Linked DNA regions of Saccharomyces cerevisiae S288C. The gene in region 2 interacts genetically with the main gene of each other region. Each region holds a gene or a part of one and is shown on either strand. Other genes may lie near its edges.

The links.
Region 1: mutations in SKM1 (region 2) and HFA1 together harm fitness more than expected from each alone (negative genetic interaction), as found in Saccharomyces cerevisiae (2 studies listed by BioGRID).
Region 3: mutations in SKM1 (region 2) and MET10 together harm fitness more than expected from each alone (negative genetic interaction), as found in Saccharomyces cerevisiae (2 studies listed by BioGRID).
Region 4: mutations in SKM1 (region 2) and DIA1 together harm fitness more than expected from each alone (negative genetic interaction), as found in Saccharomyces cerevisiae (2 studies listed by BioGRID).

The regions. Positions count from the first base shown.
Region 1 is NC_001145.3:677,533-685,100, forward strand, and holds the start of HFA1 (acetyl-CoA carboxylase HFA1), read right to left. Parts: upstream 6,033-7,568; coding exon 1-6,032. Other genes in the region: ERG12 (mevalonate kinase), read left to right, coding at 6,935-7,568. UniProt on the Saccharomyces cerevisiae protein: Catalyzes the rate-limiting reaction in the mitochondrial fatty acid synthesis (FAS) type II pathway. Responsible for the production of the mitochondrial malonyl-CoA, used for the biosynthesis of the cofactor lipoic acid.
Region 2 is NC_001147.6:102,417-106,842, reverse strand, and holds SKM1 (putative serine/threonine protein kinase SKM1), read right to left. Parts: upstream 2,518-4,426; coding exon 550-2,517; downstream 1-549. Other genes in the region: Rab GTPase-activating protein MSB4, read right to left, coding at 1-133; PTH4 (Pth4p), read left to right, coding at 2,918-3,526; non-canonical poly(A) polymerase PAP2, read right to left, coding at 3,614-4,426. UniProt on the Saccharomyces cerevisiae protein: May be involved in cellular signaling or cytoskeletal functions. May play a role in morphogenetic control.
Region 3 is NC_001138.5:211,529-216,972, reverse strand, and holds MET10 (sulfite reductase subunit alpha), read right to left. Parts: upstream 3,662-5,444; coding exon 554-3,661; downstream 1-553. Other genes in the region: condensin subunit SMC2, read left to right, coding at 1-379; PTR3 (Ptr3p), read right to left, coding at 4,000-5,444. UniProt on the Saccharomyces cerevisiae protein: This enzyme catalyzes the 6-electron reduction of sulfite to sulfide. This is one of several activities required for the biosynthesis of L-cysteine from sulfate.
Region 4 is NC_001145.3:903,242-906,342, forward strand, and holds DIA1 (Dia1p), read left to right. Parts: upstream 1-1,583; coding exon 1,584-2,594; downstream 2,595-3,101. Other genes in the region: YMR315W (uncharacterized protein), read left to right, coding at 1-608; YMR315W-A (uncharacterized protein), read left to right, coding at 1,045-1,152; YMR316C-A (uncharacterized protein), read right to left, coding at 2,421-2,732. UniProt on the Saccharomyces cerevisiae protein: Involved in regulation of invasive growth.

The DNA.
Region 1 (7,568 bases), on a different chromosome or scaffold from region 2:
CATTCCAACTCATTTCGGATTACTCCTTTAACTAGCATCCTAGTCGATCTATCATGTAAATCTGCAAACTGTATGCTGATTTGATTGTAAATTGGTATCAACTGTCTCTCTCTTATTTTCAATCTCTTCGTAAGATCATTTTGTTTTTCCAAAGATAACTTTTTTTCTGTCAACGTTCTTCTCAAATGTCCATATGTGGAGTCTAATCGAATCATCGTCTCTATCATTTTCTCCTTACGGTATTTTATGCTAACTACTCCGTCAGGTTCTAACACACCTCCCCTAGATTCAACATCGGCATACATTTCCATTTGTTCAGGATTAATAGTTGGATCTATAACAACCCATGATCCGCCCCTTAATTCACCAAAGGGCGGAATGTATATCAGTATGGGTTGTTTGTAGTCAACCAGAGCGTCAACAATAAAAGACCCGTACTTTAGTACTTCATTGTACATATCCCTTTGACCGCCAGAAAATCCCCTCCAATTGGCTAAGATAATCAATGGTAATTGCTCACCATAGTTAAAATCATTTATAGTTTGAGCTGTTTTGAACGCGGAATTTGGATACCACACCTGTCCTGCTTCTTTAACGGAAAACTCTGAAGAATCCAGATTAGCTGGGTCAGCGGGGATTATTTCTTCGATAGTCTTAGTTTCTACCGCAATAACACCCACGGGAATACCTCCAAGACGTGCTCTTCCAACTATTACACCTTTGGCCCATCCAGATAATGTCTCAAAAAACGAATCCTTATCAAATAGGCCTGACTGGAAGTTGTTATTTGAGTCCCATTTACCCTCTATCAACCACCTTGCCTCATATGGCACTTGCTTGGCAGGTTTGAAGTCTACATCCCTATCCCATCTATCCATAGTTTCAAGAAGTGGAGGACTCATATCTCTTTTCGCCGGGACATATGATAACCATGTCATTATTTTTTCGATGGCTTTCATATCATTACTGGCTGTTAAATGCGCTATTCCGTTTTTATACATGATTTGGGTTCCGCCAATTTGTAGGTTAGATGTATAGATATCGGTACCCAAAACTTTATTAATCGCCGATGCACCCGTCAGTATGATAGGCTTATCCTCCACCTGAATAGTACGTTGTCCTAGTCTGACCAGATAGGAACCTATACCAACGGACCGACAAGTAACAGCAGTAATAGTGAAAATGTCTCTATACGCTTTCGAAGTGGCACCAGCAATTAAACCCGAGCCCTGTAAACATTCAACACCTAAACCCTCTTCGAATCCGACTATTGCTTTAATAATATATCTCTCTTCACCGTATACCATCTTGTGTTCAACAACAACCGAATTTCCTTTCCCAGAATCTTTCAGTAGCTGCATGTCTTTTGGAGCTAAGTATAAGTACTGGAAACCCTTTGTTGGATCAGAGGGGTCATTCCATGCTACACGAAATAGAGGGATCAGCTCTTCGGCTATACCCAATTTAGCTCCTGAATTCGCCGCCAAGTATATCCTCGGGATCCCTCTCTCTCTTGCATAATTTGTGACCCTATCAAAAAACAAATCTTCTCTCGGTCCAAAAGATCCAATATTGTAGGTAATATCATTAGAAATCACGATCATGTTACGCCCTTCAGGATATTCAGGTGTCTGAACCATAATCTCAAAAGCAACCATCCCTATATTATTAAGGCCTGGCTCCCTGTTTACTTTTATTAAATTACCGTTTTGTTCTATCAATTCAACCCAACTAAAAAAACTGTCATTCAGCTTATGTTTTGGAAAATACCTTTTCCACTGTTGGATTGCAGCTTGATGAAACAGACCTGGGAAATCGTACACATATGTTGTACCCATGAATTGAGCTTTGTACCTTTTAGGTTGTAGCCAATCCTTGACCGAGTAAGGAAGAGAGAGAGATTTCTGGCTATAATGGCTCTGCTCACTACACGGTTCCAAAATCAGATTCCCATTTTTCCCTATCTTTTCGTAATATGTCTCAATTTTTACCACATACCCAGATTTATTAGAAATAAGTAATCTAAGCGGGGCTGGCTTCTTTGTTTCTAGGCACTCAACAGAGATGCAAATTTCTACATCTGTGATTCTTTCTTGAAACAATCTGGTTTCGTGAGTCTTTAGAATTGTACTCACAATTTCCTCGAGACGATGTACTGGTATGTTAAGAACTGTATTGAAACTTAAAAAAATATGATTCAAGTCTGAATTTGAGATGTCAACTGCTCCTAGATGTTCTAACATATAAACCACTTGAGCATTGATTTCCGCTTTCAAGTTTTCTTCGGTTGTTTTTTGATCATTATACATGAAGGAATTTATGATTTTCCTGACAAAGAACCTTTTATCTAGCGGCGTAAATTTGCTAATACCTTCAAAAATGCGTATACTACTATCGTATGTAGGTAGTGATCTGATTTTATAGTTCGACATTTTTCCTAACTCTAACGGTGCTTCATAGGATGGATCCATATTTCTTATTTGAGAGATTTCATCGTACGTAGTTCCATCAAAGGAGTAAAATTTAACAGCGGGCGCATTCGCGGCGATAAATGCAAATGTAATACGATTAACCTTGAGCTTGGATAGACCTCTCTCATTTTCATGAAGTTTAATTTTTAAAGTTTTAATTAGATCATTTTCACTTCTGTAACGAATAGGAGATAAAATATTAACAATAAGAGAGTTCTCTCCGCTGGAAAGTCTTTCCTCAGGAATATGAATTTGTTCGTATACCTCGTCTAATGTCTTTTCCAGAGATTCAAGCGCACGCATGTTGACAAGAAGACCAAAACTATTTGCTGAGCTCTTACCTGATGTTGAGGGAGGTTTAGAAAGTTTTGTAAACTCATCACTCTCACCATCAGAATTGACTAAATAATTTCTTAATGAGCTGAATTGCCATGACATTAGTAAATCAGGCGCTCCTTTATGAATCTTAATACTTTTTAATTGATAATTGCCGTAGGCATACCTTGCATAAATTTCAGATGCTATACTGGAAAGAGCCGTATCTTGATGGCCAAAAAAAAAGAACAAATCCTGAAGTTGTATCAGATTTGAATGTATTAAATTACCAAAATCCCTCATACAGGAATATATGTTCCTGCTGTGAATGTTTTCGGCACCAGTATCCTTTATGTGCAATTGCAGGAGAGTTTTAATATGCTCTTTTCTTTTCTTTATGGGAGGGAAAATCCCTCTGAGTAGCACTGATCTTGCCTTTACAGCAACCTCTTTAGCCCACTTAGATTCCAAACTTGCCAAATCATGTATAACAGCCCTGAATTTTAAAGACATCTTAGAGGAATCCTGGCACAATGGCTCGTATTCATGCAATATTGCAGTTACTAACTTGTTCTTTGCGACTACGTTAGCATGCGATAAACTTATGCACAAAATTTTTTTCAAGTTTGTAAGGTCTTTCCTCCGCAGATTTAGTAAGTTTCTTTCTTCATGTATATCATGATTTTCAAAAATTTTCTCAACAGCATAGTACTTTTTAATCAACTTTAAAAAAATTTCACATTCGTGATTAGCTAAACCTTCGCTATACCTTTCACTAATTTTAAGAAGTGGCTGTAAGGCAACATAAACTACATGATCATTTGTATTTTCTTCCAAGTAGCGCTTCATTAATTTGTGCAGTTCCTTTGCAGGAAAAGAAACAGATTTCTTGACTAGATTTCCCAGCCCCTCATTCAATTGCCTTGGTAGTCTATTGCGTACCGTAGAAATTTGGGAATCCCATTCTGAATAAGGAAGCCTACCATCTCTCAATATTTTTATCAACTCTTTTAGAGTAGTTTCTATTCCAGAGTTTTCATGATATCCATTGAGAATATTTTCTAACCTATTTATTAAGACTCTGAGCTTATGGTTTGGTCGGCTACCCTCTATTAGCGGTGGACCTAAAACAGGTAATTCTCCGCGGTATAAAGACGATTCGTTAGCTTTGGACGGCGAATCCAAAGTCAATTTTGCGATGACATCACCAGCCTCAATTATGGAACCGGGCTGTCTTAGTAACTCAATTACACCATCACTTTTCGCTACTAGTGGCATCTGCATTTTCATTATTTCTATTTCTGCATATTGCTGTCCAGCAAAAACGTGATCACCACTTCGGACCAAATATTTCACCAATTTCCCCGGAGTTGGAGAGATCACTTGAGTGGGATTGAGTTCAGCTTCTAAAAATATGGTATTGGAGTCTATCGAAAGTCTTGTACCTCTGATATCGTCCTTCCAATAAACTGTATGGCATTTACCGTCAACGGAGATCAACAAGCAGTCACTGGACAATTTTTGAACATTAACTTCACATTGAGACTTATTGATAGAAAGAATAAATTGTTCTTCAGATGATTGAGCAACATTGAACAAGTATCTATTATTATCGAAAATGAAGTCAACAGGAAACTTCGTTTTAAGAAAATCTTTAGGTGGAACTTGGCCCCTCCGCAATAATTCCAAATACTTATTCCTCACCTTTTCTGTGAAAACGTATGCTTTCATTGCGGCACCACAGATAATAGCGAGCGTTGGATCTAGTTTGCTATCGGAAGATAAATTTTTCAAAATCAAATCATCTAACCAACCAGTCGATATGTTATTACTCTCAAAGTCCCGAGTTTCTAATAGCTCTATCAGGTACTCTATGGGGGTTTTGAATTCTCCTCGGATGGAAAAATCTTTTAGAGCTAAAACCATGTTTTGCTTTGCATCTTGCCTATCGTTTCCTACAGCAAAAATGTGCCCAAATTGGGAATCTGAAAATGAGTGAATAGCACCATTATTTCCTACTGAGAAGTAACCCCAAACATTGGAAGAAGAACGAAAATTGAGCTCATGTATTTTCCCAGTGGAGGGCTTGAAACCTTCATTAGGATCTTCTGAAGTGATCCTGCATGAAATACAATGGCCTTTTGGCGAGGGTCTCTTTAAATTTTTAAAATCAATATACGAAGTTCCCGTTGGATCTAAACCATAAAGTTTTCTGATATCACTTATCATGTGCATAGGAATGCCCATGGCGATTTGCAGTTGAGTGGCAGGAAGGTTTACGCCAGATATCATTTCTGTCGTTGGATGCTCTACTTGTAGTCTCGGATTCAGTTCTAAAAAGTAAAATTTATCATCTTTTGGTGAATATAAGTATTCGACAGTGCCCGCAGAAACATAACCTACCAATTCACCTAGACGAATTGCTGCGCGTTCCATCCTTTGAAACGTTTCAGGCTTGGTTATTGTCACTGGTGCCTCTTCTATAATCTTTTGGTGCCGCCTTTGTATGGAACAGTCTCTCCCAAACAATGTAATGTTAGTGCCATATTGGTCAGCTAATAACTGTACCTCTAAGTGACGAGCATCAGTGACAACTTTCATAACAAACATAGGCGACCCAGGTGTCTCATTCACTGCTTGGCGATATAATGCAATAAAATCATCCTCATTATCTACTCGCCTAATGCCCTTACCTCCACCACCTTCGGATGCCTTAATCATTACAGGAAATCCTATTAATTTAGCCTTTTCTAAAGCATCTTCAGGTGAGGAACAACATCCCCTTACATATACATCATCCGGCACAGATACAAAGTTCGTCTTGTTATCGATATGGATAGTGTCTATATGTGAACCAGACCAAGGGATACACGGGATTTTAGCGCTTTGTGCTACAATAGTGGAAGAAATCTTGTCACCCAATGATCTCATAGCGCGTCCAGGAGGACCAATGAATAGTATTTTCCTTTGTGAACTAGCTAACAGCTCAGGAAGACACGGATTTTCAGAAGCATGGCCCCATCCAGCCCAGACCGCATCCACATCCGTTTGCTCTGCCACGTCCAGTATTAAGTCTATGTTGGCGTAATTGTTGTTGTTGGTACCCCCTGGTACCTGCACATATTGGTCTGCCATTCTAATATACTCCGAATTTGCGTGTAAATCATCAGGTGTCGCCATTACCACGAATTGAATGATTTTTTCATCATTGAACGTCTCGTACGCCCATTTTCTTATAGATCTCATTTCTTTCACCGCAGCAATACCATTGTTTGCTATTAAGATCTTTGAAATAACAGTATGTCCACCACGTAAATCAACAAAATCTCTTAATATTGAAGGTTGGGCACTTTCCACAGTATTTAGCCCTATGAACTGGGGCGGTAATCGAGTATGTTTATGAATATTGCCTCGATCCACATAATTGGAATACCTTCTTCTAGATGGAAAATTCAAACCTATTCGAGATGAATGCCTATACGAATGGGCAAAAATGCGTTTTCTGTATTCAGGGCGCTGTCCTTTCAACCGTACTATCTGGCTGCCCGTTATATTATAGAATCGATAAGGATCCAAATATAACGCGAGCTTGTACTGTCCTATTCGAATGCAAGTAATTGTGAATATGGTAATGTAAAAGTGAGAATGTATCCGGCGAGCCCCCCAGCTTTGGCCGTGTGTAATTGTCTTCCCTTTCTACCCAAGATGACTTCTTCTTTATCATTCTTCATTATTCATCTTTTCTTGTCATCTGCCGCCCACCCATTTTAGTTACCCTAACGGAAACATTGATGAATGATGCTATTATTACTGTCATAAGCAATAAAAAGAGAGGTTCCTACTACTTCTCCCGTGGAAAGCTAGCGATAGCCTTGTACTCTATCTCACTTTCAGAATGCGTACACATTTATGTTTAAAGAGGCGTTTTGTGCTAGTTTTGTCTCAACGTGTATTTTATCGGTTGTAATTGTACTGACAATTTTCGGGCCTCGTTTGGCTGTCGCACTGAAATCTTCGACAGGGTATCGAAGAACGATACAACGATATGCCTATAAAGGTTAGTTAGCCATGATATTACTTCCTGGTTAGCTGGTGCGCTTCTTAGTCCTAACTTGCAAATTTATATCTACGTATAGAAAACTGTCAATATGTCATTACCGTTCTTAACTTCTGCACCGGGAAAGGTTATTATTTTTGGTGAACACTCTGCTGTGTACAACAAGCCTGCCGTCGCTGCTAGTGTGTCTGCGTTGAGAACCTACCTGCTAATAAGCGAGTCATCTGCACCAGATACTATTGAATTGGACTTCCCGGACATTAGCTTTAATCATAAGTGGTCCATCAATGATTTCAATGCCATCACCGAGGATCAAGTAAACTCCCAAAAATTGGCCAAGGCTCAACAAGCCACCGATGGCTTGTCTCAGGAACTCGTTAGTCTTTTGGATCCGTTGTTAGCTCAACTATCCGAATCCTTCCACTACCATGCAGCGTTTTGTTTCCTGTATATGTTTGTTTGCCTATGCCCCCATGCCAAGAATATTAAGTTTTCTTTAAAGTCTACTTTACCCATCGGTGCTGGGTTGGGCTCAAGCGCCTCTATTTCTGTATCACTGGCCTTAGCTATGGCCTACTTGGGGGGGTTAATAGGATCTAATGACTTGGAAAAGCTGTCAGAAAACGATAAGCATATAGTGAATCAATGGGCCTTCATAGGTGAAAAGTGTATTCACGGTACCCCTTCAGGAATAGATAACGCTGTGGCCACTTATGGTAATGCCC
Region 2 (4,426 bases):
CTTCATCGTCGTCATCGTATAAATCAAGAACGCTATAATTGGCATCGTCTTCGTTGAATGACGAAACTGTGTCAAAAACACTTTCGTTCGGTACCAAGGCGGCTTCTGTCGACATAGTTGATGACATTATCATCCTGTCATGCCGGGTTTTGCCTTCTGTGATTGTAAAAGTGTGCGAGTCTTCCTCGATTTTGAATTACTTCGGTGCCAAATGTACAAAATACTATCCTAACTTTTCAAAAATAGTTTATTCTTATAAAATCATCCGTAAAATGATTAACTGTCCCCGCTAAAAGCGTTTGTAAGCTCAGTTCATAGATATGTCTTCCATCCGTAAATCCGCCTAACGAATAGCAACACATTCTTTTTCCTTTTACATTTTCTATTGACATAACGCGAAGCAAACGTATCATTGTTGTTTTTTTTCTATAAATAATCAAAAAGAGTAATTGTTTTAGATGAAATAAAAATGCGATTAAAATATGAATCATACATACGTATATACATATATATATATATTGTTTCTCCTAAATAAAAAAAAGCTAAATTTCAATGCCACTTTAAGGATACTTTGAGCTGCTCAGGGCTGCATGCCATTGACAAAAATTCAAACGTTAGTAGTTTTCTCACGGATGCTCTTGATTCGACATTCACTTGCAAACAGGCATCTAAGAATTGTTTGGTTTGCTTGGACACTGACTCTGGATGACGCAATTTTGGTGAACCGTTGTTAGCTATCAGATACAGCGCCTTCAAAGGATCCTCATTTAGGTAAGGCGGTTCACCTTCTATCATCTCAATAAGCATTATCCCTAGAGACCAAACGTCGACTTTTTCATCATATCCCTTTTGATTCACTATTTCAGGTGCCATCCAATATGGAGTACCTACCATTGTGGCACGCTTGCTTCTTTTTTCTGTTAATTCCACACAAAAACCGAAGTCTGTAATTTTCACTAACCCTTGGGAATTCAGAAGGATATTATCAGATTTGATATCTCGATGGATAATTTTCTTGTTATGCAAAAACTTCAAACCTTGGCACGTCTCTTTTACTATATATGCCATTTGGTTTTCGTTTAACGGCGATGAGTGCTCACCGGTATTGCTCCTTGCTACAGCATCCAATATATCTGTTAAGCAGCCACCTTCCATGTACTCCATTATCACCCATAACTCTTCGTCATCAATAATATAGGCTTCAAGGAAATTAACGATATTTTCTTGGCGCGAATCATTCATCACTAGGAGTTCATTCATAATCAATTGTTTCTTTGGTTGTTCAGATAAACGTATCTGCTTAATGGCCACTCTTTCGCCTACGACTCGGTGGCAATGTGATTTCAAGAATCTCGGGTCATTTTCTTGAGGTAATTTTATTCGCTTTGACAGGTATACTGCACCACTTGCTCCTTGACCAGCCTTTTCTACCAGTTGGAAATACGGTCTTGGGTTTACATCAATTGCAACAGTTTTCATCTTCATTATTATTTCATTCGAATCATCATTATTCTTAAGTTCAAGGAGATCCTCCTTATGCCATTTAGTTTTACTATCATGATTTTTTGTAGCAGGTGCAGATGGTGCTAGTCGATGAGGTCTAAATGTTGAATTATTATCATGCCTTCGCAGATGGCTTTGAATGACTTTCTGTTCCTTCTTTCCTAACTGCTTTGTCTGGGAATCTGCCGTGCTTTCTTTACTAACATGCACCCTGCCTTCTTCGCGTACTTTATTGTCCTCTATGTTGGTAAACTTATAATCATCATCACTAGGCCTTGGGAATGGTTTAAGTTCTGATTGATAGACGGGTAAAATGGAATCTGTTTTGCCTTTTCGGAGCGTCCTACTTACTGATCTCTTGATGGAATTAGTCCTCTTGTTTATAATATACCTTGTCGGACTTTTTAAAGGTTTCAAGTCTAAGCTTGTGTTGAGGTGATCATTGAATTGCATTGTGTCCAGTCCATTGTAATCTTCATAAAATTGCAGTGCTTTAATAACAGCTTTTGAGTTTCTGTTCCAATCGTCGTACGTAATTTCTGAGGTTTGTAGTAGTTTAGCCCAACTATCAGGTACTCCAACAAAGTTTCCCACTTTTGGGTCGAACCCAACGTGTACTTTGTGTGTAAAATTTGTTGGTGATGAAACACCACTAAGGAGAGGACATTTGGCAAAAATGGCATCAAGCCAGCCATGCAAATCCCGTTCGGTTCTTGTGGAAATGAATATCGATCTTTTGGAATTTGATTCATAAAAGTAGGAGTTTATGGGGGATATGTTCTCTTTTTGATCTGTTGCCCGAAGAATCTCAAAACAATTTTGTTTCAATTGTATTCTGCTAACATTTGTTATACTAGTCAAAGGCACAGATAAGACTGGTTCCTCATTGCACTTATCACTTTTGTAAAATGCTAAATACGAATCATTCAGTACCAAGTATCTCTTTTGCCATAAGAACGAAAACAATCCATCAACTTTATAAGATATCCATCCTTCCTTTTTTACGCCCTTCATCGAAAGATATTCTTTCGTTTTGTCTGATTGTCCTCGAGTATAGCTCTACAAAAATTGTACTTATCGTCTGATCCATTGAGAAAACCAGGTGTAGGTCTTCATAAAGCGAATATTTATTCACTTACCACTGGGGACCTCCCCACAGAACTTGATTAGATGAATCTGCGTCCTGTTCCTTCATTCTTTTTTTAGTTTACAACAAACCATAACACCCGTGATGACAACAACAGGAATTATCGCAAATCAATCTTTTACCAGATCTGGAAGCGGATAGTCAACATTTCGTGTCTTCCAAGGGGCTGACGAAATCAAGCGTATACGGTAAAAAAAAACAACAGAATCCTTAACATTACTGTTTGCCTTTCAGTAAATTGAAGGGAAACACGCCAAGAAATATCATATGACAACATTGATGGGAAAGTTTAAACTTACTGGGCGCTCCCCTCTGTTTGTACTTCAACCAATGTTGCACTGCAAGAAACAACAGTTCGTTGAAGAGGCAGTCAGATTGATTAGTAATAAAAAGATCGGAAAGAAATCTGACTTCGTCCAGGCAAGAAACTGGGTAGGAGCACTTAACGTAACGGGCTTGCCCTTAAATCAATTTATTTTACGTTACGATAGAGCCAGCGGGCCAGGAGGCCAAAACGTTAATAAGGTAAATAGTAAATGTACTTTGACACTTTCTGGTTTATCAAACTGTGCTTGGATTCCTCAGGAAGTGAGAAACATCTTAAGTAGCGGCAGGTTTCGATACTACGCTAAGGGCAGCGATTCTATAGTAATTCAATCTGATGAAACTAGGTCAAGGGAAACCAACAAATTAAAATGCTTCGAGAAGTTGGTTCAAGAAATTCGGCAAACGTGCCAATTTCCTAATGATACCACTGCTGAGACCTCAAAGAAATGGAATAAAATAAAAGAGAAAGCCAACAAAGAGCGACTTCTTGACAAAAAAGTTCACAGCGATAAAAAGAAAAACAGAAGTAAAATTAAATTCAATTATTAATACATAATACGCATATTTAAACACACATTCTATCCAGGTACACAGTGATGTACAGTTCAGTGCATCATTTAAACAAAAAGGCACATATTAAAGGGTATAAGGATTATATCCATCTTCATCATCATCTTCGCTAGAGACAGTGATATATGTCTCTCCACTATTTCTCTTGGCCGGTTCACTTTCAGGTTTTTCTTCTATTTTAGCCTTCTTAGCAGGTGGGTTCGTTATTTCATAATCATCATCTGTTGTGGTAGCGGTGGCTGTGGAGGTAACTGTATCTTCGGCAAAATCTTCATCATGAATTATTCTGCTACGTTTCTTGTGATAGTTTTCATTTTCAATAATAGCCTTATTCAGTACTAGACCTCTTTCATCCTTGAAATCTCTTGCCTTTCCACGATATTTGATCACGTTTCCCAATATACTTTTCCCCAATCGATCCTTAAAAGTTGCTGAATGTAATTCAAAACATCTATTCGTCAACAGATCAAAAGCACCAGCAAATGCCTTTTTAATATCTCGAATGTTAAAGGACCCTCGACTGATGTTATTTGATTCATCACCTGGATCTTGAATGGCCAATGAAAATGGATTTTTAATAGGCTGAATAGCACTCCATGTCGATTTTGGAAAGTATACTGGATATCCATCCGATGATCCCAGTGCAACATCATCATAACCAAAATTTTTCCCATAAAGTTCAAAAAACTCTATCAGGAGCACACCCAAGTTGTCCTTTGGATCTATTTCGTTAGTTATTATACGTGGGTGCATATGCAAAAAGGAAAAGACAAGACATATAATACTAAACCCACCAAGACCACCGGTATGCACATTATTTAGTCTTCTTGCGTGTAGGAATTGTTTTACGATAAGGACTAATTCTCTCAGGCCGGGGGT
Region 3 (5,444 bases), on a different chromosome or scaffold from region 2:
AGACCTTTTACCAAATTCATTTGCAAAATTGGTTCCATGCGAAGGTAAGGACGTAACGCAGGGTTTAGAGGTTAAAGTAAAGCTTGGTAATATATGGAAGGAAAGTTTGATTGAATTGTCCGGTGGGCAAAGGTCGTTGATTGCTTTGTCATTGATTATGGCATTGTTGCAATTTCGACCAGCGCCTATGTATATTTTGGATGAAGTTGATGCTGCTCTTGATTTAAGTCATACGCAAAATATAGGTCATTTGATTAAAACAAGGTTTAAAGGATCTCAGTTCATTGTAGTCTCGCTTAAAGAAGGTATGTTTGCCAATGCTAATAGGGTCTTCAGGACGAGATTTCAAGATGGTACCTCCGTAGTTAGTATAATGTGATGGTTAGTTTTCATAAGACAAATAAATATTGTAATGTAATCATATTTCAATAATTTTCTATTTGGCAGCCAATAGAAAAGCTTGCGCATAGAAGAAAACTAAAAGTAAAAAAAAAATAGAAATGTTCAAGACAGGTTCAATAAATAGATATTTAGTTTTTATTACTATATTAATTTAGTAGACTTCTAAAATGTATCTTGATGCTTCCTTTAATTCTTCAATTGCGGCATCCAAGTCGACTTTGATGCCTCTTTCCTCGGCGTCTTTAGCCAGAATGTCTTGCAAAGCTTGAGTAATATCTGGAACTGGCCAAGTAGGGCCACACAAGTAAAATGAACCTTTATTATCAATCATTGCAGTTTTTAATTCATCCAAATTCTCTTTGATACGATCTTGAATGTAAATTTTTTGAGGTTGGTCTCTTGAGAAAGCAGCGCCGATGTGTGTGATAATACCTGCATCTTTGTAAGCCTCCCATAACTCACCATATAAATATTCTTCTCTTTTGTGTCTTGAACCTAGATATAGGAAGACTTCACCAATCTCATAACCTTGCTGCTTTTGCCATAATTTCTCTTCAACAATGGCCTTGAATGGTGCCAAACCAGTACCTAAACCACTCATAATAACTGGTTGCTTTGGAGATGGTGGTAATTTCATAACAGATGGTTTAACGCTAACGACCAATTCTGAACCGACAGCAAGGTCTGAGATATACTTAGAAGCTTGACCGTACCTTTTTCTTCCTTTATTATCCACCCAATCAACAACAACGATCAATAAATGAACTTCATTTGGATGAACTTTCTGAGAGGAGGCAATTGAGTATTCTCTTCTCTTCAATGGTTCAATGATAGTAACAAGTTCCTCAAGAGATGGGCGAACAGATGGGAACAATTCAAAAATGTCAGCATATGTATAATACTCCACATCTTGAAATCTCTTCAAATCTACTGCACCGGCAGGAGTAACCAAATCCTCTAATTTTTTCTTCTCCTCTTCGTTAGAGGCATATGGAATCAATGATTCGTAAAATCTTTTTGGTGGTTTACCGAAAATATCCAAATTTTCCACAAATGCTTGTAAGACGGTTCTTGTTTCTAACAAATGGTGGTTGTCCTTGTTGGGGACTAAGACAACATCGGATTCATTTAGACCATAGAAGGTTAAGAATTCTTTGACCAAAGATTCATTGTTTCTGGCATGAATACCGAGGGCTTCACCGATGTCATAAGTCATTCCAGTACCAGAAATATCGAATTCAATATGGAAAATATATCTATCATAATCAGCAGGCGTAACACGTCTATTTTCTTTAACTTTCACGACGAAGTTCTTGACGGGTAAATCGGGTCTTAGTTTATTCTCAACTTCATATGCCTCTTTGAAGGACAACTTCTTGGCAATATCAGAGATCTCAGAGGTCTCAGGTAATGGTATTTCTTCAATGGTACTGTTATTTGGGAGGAAAGATGTTTCATTAACGAAAATTGGTAAAGCTGCAGGCTCTTCCTCATCCTCTTTCTTTTCAATGTTTATTTCAGAAAATTTAGTGTACAGCGCTAGCGGAACCTCACTGAGGAAGTTTTTGAATGCACCAGTGAGAAATTCAGAAATCGAGGCTGCTGAAATGTCTGCACCTGAATCAATGCTTTTCCAGATACGGTTGGTACATTCTGCGACATCTAGACCGAAGGCCAATTTCCAGAAAACGGCTTGGATAAACAAGGACAATTTGGACTCGTCGTTAGTGGTCTCACCATCGATGATAAACAATTTGATGTTTTTCTTCGCAATAGATATTAGGAATGATTCAGGAATTCCCAAATTCTTGACGTAACTTTCTACAGAATTTAAATCCAAATCTTTAACTGCCTTTTGGGAAACCAACGCAATTGAACCTTGTTCTGCGACGGTAGCAGCTACGTCTAAATGCTTCAATAAACTGACATCTTCAACGACTGATAATTTCGTAGAATCGATGTTTGAAACAGGTATCTGTTCTTTCGAGGTCACAAATTGAGCTTGGAAGGTACCAGCATTAGCCAAGTTATCAAATTTCGTTCTCAAAGACACAAATTTCCCATCTTCCAAAGACAGAGCTTTCACAAGTTTGGAGGCAACATCAATATTGATACTCTTATCAGAGGCCCAATAAATGAATCCTTCGCCGAAAGATGAATCGGCATTGTAAGTGAATTCAGGGATGAATGACGATACAATTGATTTGACAGCTTTTGGGGACCAAATGAAATCTGGTTGATAGATGTACTCAGAAACGCTAATTGAGGTGCGGCCGTGGTAAAATAAGGCGGCTGAAACTTGAGATCTCAAGAAAGAAGGCGAAGAACCATCCAAAGTTTGGCCTATAACAACAATTTGTTTGGTAGTGGATGGAACGTGAGTGACAAACTTAGCAACGTTAAAAGGTAATGGCACTCTGACGTTGATTAACCCGATTTTGGAATTATTACCACTAATCGCAGAGTTGAACAATTCGGATTCTAAAGACCCATAAGTGATAAACACAGTTTCAGCATCCTGAGCACCAAAGTATTGGAAATTATGTAGTCTCAATCCAGTCAATTCATTAAACTTATCCAAGACATCATCAAAGGCAGCATCTGGTGCAATAACTTTGGATAGTTTTGCCAAAATAGATGCCTCAGGAACAGATTCGACCAACGGCAAGACGGTTTTCGAGTAGTTTAATCCGTCAAATAAATTGATAGCTCCGGAGTTATTACTGAAAGTGGCAATCGCCAATGCCAGTAAGGCGACACTTTGTACCTCGTTAGCGGAAATCGGAGTCACGACACCATACTTCAGCTTGGAAGCAGCATCCAATGCGGTTACATAATCGTTGGTGACAGAGCCGGTAGCATTGTCGTAGTTTAAAGCACCAACATTCAAAAGAAACTTACCATCATGAGAGACGGTTTTCAAAGAGTTAATGAAGTATGGCAGCGAAAACCCTGGAGCAACAATTGCTGTAGTGTTCTTCAATCCATGAGAAAACCCTAAAGGAGCCAAACCAGCGCCAGATCTGATATCCAGCTCTTGGAAAAATGGCTTCCCACGTGATTCGTTACCACGCTTTTCAGACCATTTTTTTAGATCTTGGTGTAGCAAATCGGGTTGAGAAAAGGACTTGTAAGCAAAAATGGAGTCCACGTTATTGAACAGCACAGATGAAATGGCAGTTACGGGTGTACCATATTTTGGCAGTGAAGTTGCATTTTTGGCCTCGCCAAAAGGATTGGTAGCAAACTCAACTGGCATCTCGTTGTATATTTGGGTGACCTCGAGGAAAAGCAGTTGAAAAAAACTATGTGCACCCCATCTAAACGAAACTATTTCCAATCAAAAGATGGTGGTCTCGAGAACTACTGCCCTCTGTTGCTTATATATACCTTTTGCTCGAAGATGACTATGGGTTTCCGACGATTCATGAATGAGTCTTTTCTACGGCACCAAAAAAGCCACACCTGTGGGGTGAATTGTGGTCACGTGCTTCTATAAGCTCACGTGGTGTGGTATATCTTATTGGGAATGTTGATAGTGTTTTCTTTTAATACCTGTATACCAGAACCTTAAACATACGTATATATTTAGATGCATTATTTGTGGAATATTTGCTTACATTTGGTGATTTCGCGAGATTGGGGCAAGCCATATGCAAAGTCTTCCACAAAGAAAGTCCCCTTTCTGTCGAGAATATAAAGCTTGTTGCCCTCTGGGTTAAACCGCAAAGTAGCTGATTCATAAGCCCTGTAGGCATTTGCCACGGTTTCAACGAGGATTGTCCTTCTTTTTTCGTTGTTGTCCATCATGGTGGGGGCACACATGATGTAAACTGATCCGTTGCGGTCGAGGAAGGCAATTGCGTCGTTTCTTGGTGATATTTCGCACTTGTGAATCTTGCATCCAATCTCATCTACCCTTATAAGCATGGATGGTTGTGCCACGGTCCGTACACCGTTAATTTGGGTGATTTTGGTGTTTATGACCAGTGGAGATGAATTGAATGCTGTTGATGTGATACACATCAGATTTGGATTTCCTGGGAAAAGTTTTGTGTCAGTGATACCTTCAGATTCTAAGGAAGTGTCTATGGACCGAACACTTTTCATTATCAGTCTTGGTTCGTTTATTTTCTGCAAAGATATGATCAAGAACCGCGACTCTAGCGCGGTCGAACATGTCAGATACTTGGCGTCGTGCGAAAGTTGTATGGTATTGATGGGATCTCTGTATGGAAGTGTTATGGTGATTGGTGGGGGGAACTCGGGCTCCAAAGTCACTTTATTTCTGGTAATTTGTTGGATCACGACTAATGCTTGTTCCGCGCCTGTATGTCTATCCTTTCCGGTGATTCCGTAGGCTATTATCTGCGACCTTGGATCTATGTCTATGCATCGGATGGGGAATCTCGACACGTAGGTATAGATGAGTTTGCCGTTTTGGTGTATGTCGTGTACATTAAGAATGTTTTGCGAACCCGATATTATCAAGAAATCATTGGAAAGTTTGCAAAAACGTTGGCTCCAGTTTTTCTTTTTCTTTTTTGACGCTTGAGAAGTAGTGGAGAGTGAAGATGACGATTGCTCTGTTAGTTGGTTGAAGTTGGGACCATATTCTCCACTAGACTTGCCACATGATACTAGTTGAGGAGAGTTGTCCTTCGGATTAATCGAATAAATTTCCCACTTGTGTTCAGTAATTAGAGCAAATTTGGTGCAATCGGGAGAAATGCTTTGGTTGATGAATAATTTGGATTTCGTCCCTAGGAATTTGGGGTGTGTGTTGAACTGAAATTTTTTTCTGTACATGGGGAAACAGTTGGCAAAAAAGTACTCCTTTTCTTCGTCCAGATCATGTGCACTATTTGTTTGGTAGTTTGCTGTGGAAGGTATTGTAACGTCCGTAGACATCAAAGAGAAGTTGTTATCTATCGGCACAGTTCTTGTGTTCGAGGCATTATCCAGGATTTTCCAGTTCGCGTGGTCGTCATAGTTGGGCTCGAGTAAGCTGCTTGAGTAATTCTCCTTAGTGGTGTGTTCTT
Region 4 (3,101 bases), on a different chromosome or scaffold from region 2:
TAGTAGCATTCACCCACAATTCTACCGGTCCATTTGTTACTCAAAATAAATATTTGACCACAACCTGGAGACAAAAACCAGAGCACATTGGCGGATTTCTATCTGATGGTGGTGTCCACCAATTAGCTCTCGTTATTTCCCTACTCGGTGAATTTGGATCTGTTTCTGCATTAACGAGACAGGTGCGTGAACGTTCCGGTGCAGATGATATTGTCTTTGCTACTGTCCAGTTGAAAAATAAAGAGGTTATCGGAAGTTTTACTTATGGGTCTGCCTTTGGTGCTACCGAAAAGTCGGTTTTCTTGAAAGTCTATGGTAAGAATGGTACCGTTACCGTTGACTTATCAGACAAAAAAGACCCCGTTGTAAAAGTCAAATTAGGGGGTTCAGCTGAAGATAACGGTGACGAACAAATTTTTAAAGTCGATAATGATGAAAGTTTCGGCGTCAACGCTGAATTTTTGAATTTTCACGAAGCTGTCAGCAAGAAGGACAAATCCTTATACCTAGGCACACCCAGAACTGCATTTCACCATTTGGCTTGTGTGGACGCGTTTTTAAAATCTTCTGCCAAGAATGGTGACTACGTTAAAATTGAGCAGCCATGATTACCGTTTTACGATGTAACGCTTTTTTAACCTTAATAGATAGATTCCCTCATATATTTATAACTATGTACCCACATAAGTATACTTTTGGAATGATAATACTAACGAGATAAAAAACCGTTGAAAAATTTCTAAGTTTTCTTGAACTAAAAATAGCCAAAATTCTCCATCCACTTGTTGTTGCAAAATGTTACGAAGGCGAGGTTCTTGGAAATCTGGATGATTATGGGAAAATTCGTTCAACAAGAACGCCGAGCCTGGACGAAATACTTAGTCGGCATGGAACTAGTTATGAATGACTTTTCCTATATAAGATCTACAACCGTTTCCAATTCACCATGAGATATATATATGTTTAACGAATCAGGTACTCGTCCGAAGCATTTCGAGTAATGCAACCCCACAAGTGTCCCCCAAGAATTCACTGGGATTTTTGATGACCGAAAGAAAGCTATTGCAGCTGCTACGGCGTCCTTTCATCTCCCTTTCTTTATTCACGGCCTTAAGAGCTTGTCCGCTTCGCCCCAAAAGCCTAATTGCTTAGAGCATGAGAGTTGAAAACGACCAGAAGTGTCGTTTTAGGTAAGCATTCGGCCATAATGAACAGTAAGTTTGTCCGAAAAATACACCGCTAGGGTTCGATAACGAAGAGCGCATATCAATTGCGTTGTCGACTTAATTGCTCTCTTAGTACAACGGTATGTGTCAGTGATAAAATCCTACCGGTTCCACTTTTTGTGAGCGATAGATGACGGAACGTATGCGCCTATTTCTTTTTTTTGGCGCAGCAAGGGACAATGGTCCCTTTTTGAGAAAATGTTGTAGGCTTGGCCATCGGCGTGAACGCATATAAAAAGAAGACTGCCAACATGACAGTATTTGAAACAACTACAGATTTGGCAAAGTTCGCCAAGATAAAGAAGACCGAAGCAGGTGCTAAGCTTCCATTAAAAGTTTTTCAAGAAAAATCTGATTATGGGTTCAATAAGTAGATACCTTCTTAAGAAAGCAGCAGATGGGCTTAAAGATGAGCAGAGATTGAAGATTGAAATGTCCGATAGCAAAAGTGTCCCAGAGTGCTTTCATTTTAATAGGGAAAGAAGAATGCCCATAGCCGAGATAAACGGCGAGGATGGGTTTTTCATGTTTCCGTCTCAGCAATCGCTTGAAAATTTTGAAAACACTAAAAAGTATTCGAATGAGCTGAGTCCAGATGCAATTGGTATTCCATTATTCCAAATTATCAATTGCACTCTACCGTTTGGTAAAAGAGGTCATAGCAATACTGTGGTCGGCAATGTCCCATATTATAAAATTTTCAAATTTATTTTAAGAACGGCAGACGAACCTCCGCCTTATACTGTGGCAAAAATCGTTTGCTCAAACAACGGATTAATATTGTATAAAGTGCCTCTTTACGACATATATAAAAATGTCAGCCAAGCAAACGTAACTTACAGCTTCGTAGGGACTACGTCTACGGAGCCCAACTTACTAGCAATGGCTCACCGAGAAGGACACAGGGATTTGGACACTAAAGTGAATAATTTAAATCTCAGGTGGCATGTCACTTATTCGCCCGTAGTTACCAACGATCATTATAAATTAATTCTGTTAGCAGATTATGAAGTGAATCGTTTGGATGAAGATGTCATTAGAGCCGCTAAAAATAAGATGTCCATCGACCAAAAGGATCAAAAAGTTCAGAGGTTCGTGGCAGCTCATTATACTAGAGAATTTGAAACATCTCTTTTTAGGTGGGTCGCTCAAGAGGGCCACTTAATTCTTGGCGAGTATTCCACAGATCAAGGATCATTTGGATTGAATAATATCCCACCATTGACGGAAGAACTCGGGTGTCAGAGCCTGCTCATACATTACATAGAGTACATGAAGAGACAACGTAAAAAAATTGCGAAAGAGGCAAGGAGACAAAATAAAAGAAACGTTGCAAACACGACTAACATGAACATGAACCTCATGTAACAAAAGTTTGCGTATAATAAACCAGTATAGATGTGTAACTGTAATTTTTAACTTATCACAAGCTCGTTCCCTTCCTGCGTTGAAAAAGCGGGACAATGCCAGAATATAAAAAAAAGAAGAAACTTTAAACCCTGTCATATCTTGTCCGAGATCTCGTCGTTCTTGTTTAATTGATCTTCTTCGTATACTGCCAAAGGTGCCAAGGCACAAAAAAGTTTAAAGTGGCACGGGCTATTGCGTCACATAAAGCCCGTAGCGCAAAAAAGTGATAGCTGACTTCATTAGATCACCAAAATGGAAAAAACTTCGTGAAGATTTCTTTTTATCTTCCTCACAGTTTTTAACTTCCGGGTGTTATACTCTCCGTTTGAAAAGTTGATTTTGTTAACTTTCCTCTTTCCTTTTGGAGTAAAAACAATATCCTCGATAGGCAAGACCTTCCTGCACCGCTATGGCGGCCATTTTGATTTTTCTTTACTGTGGGAAGCAAGAACTTGTTCAGGCGCC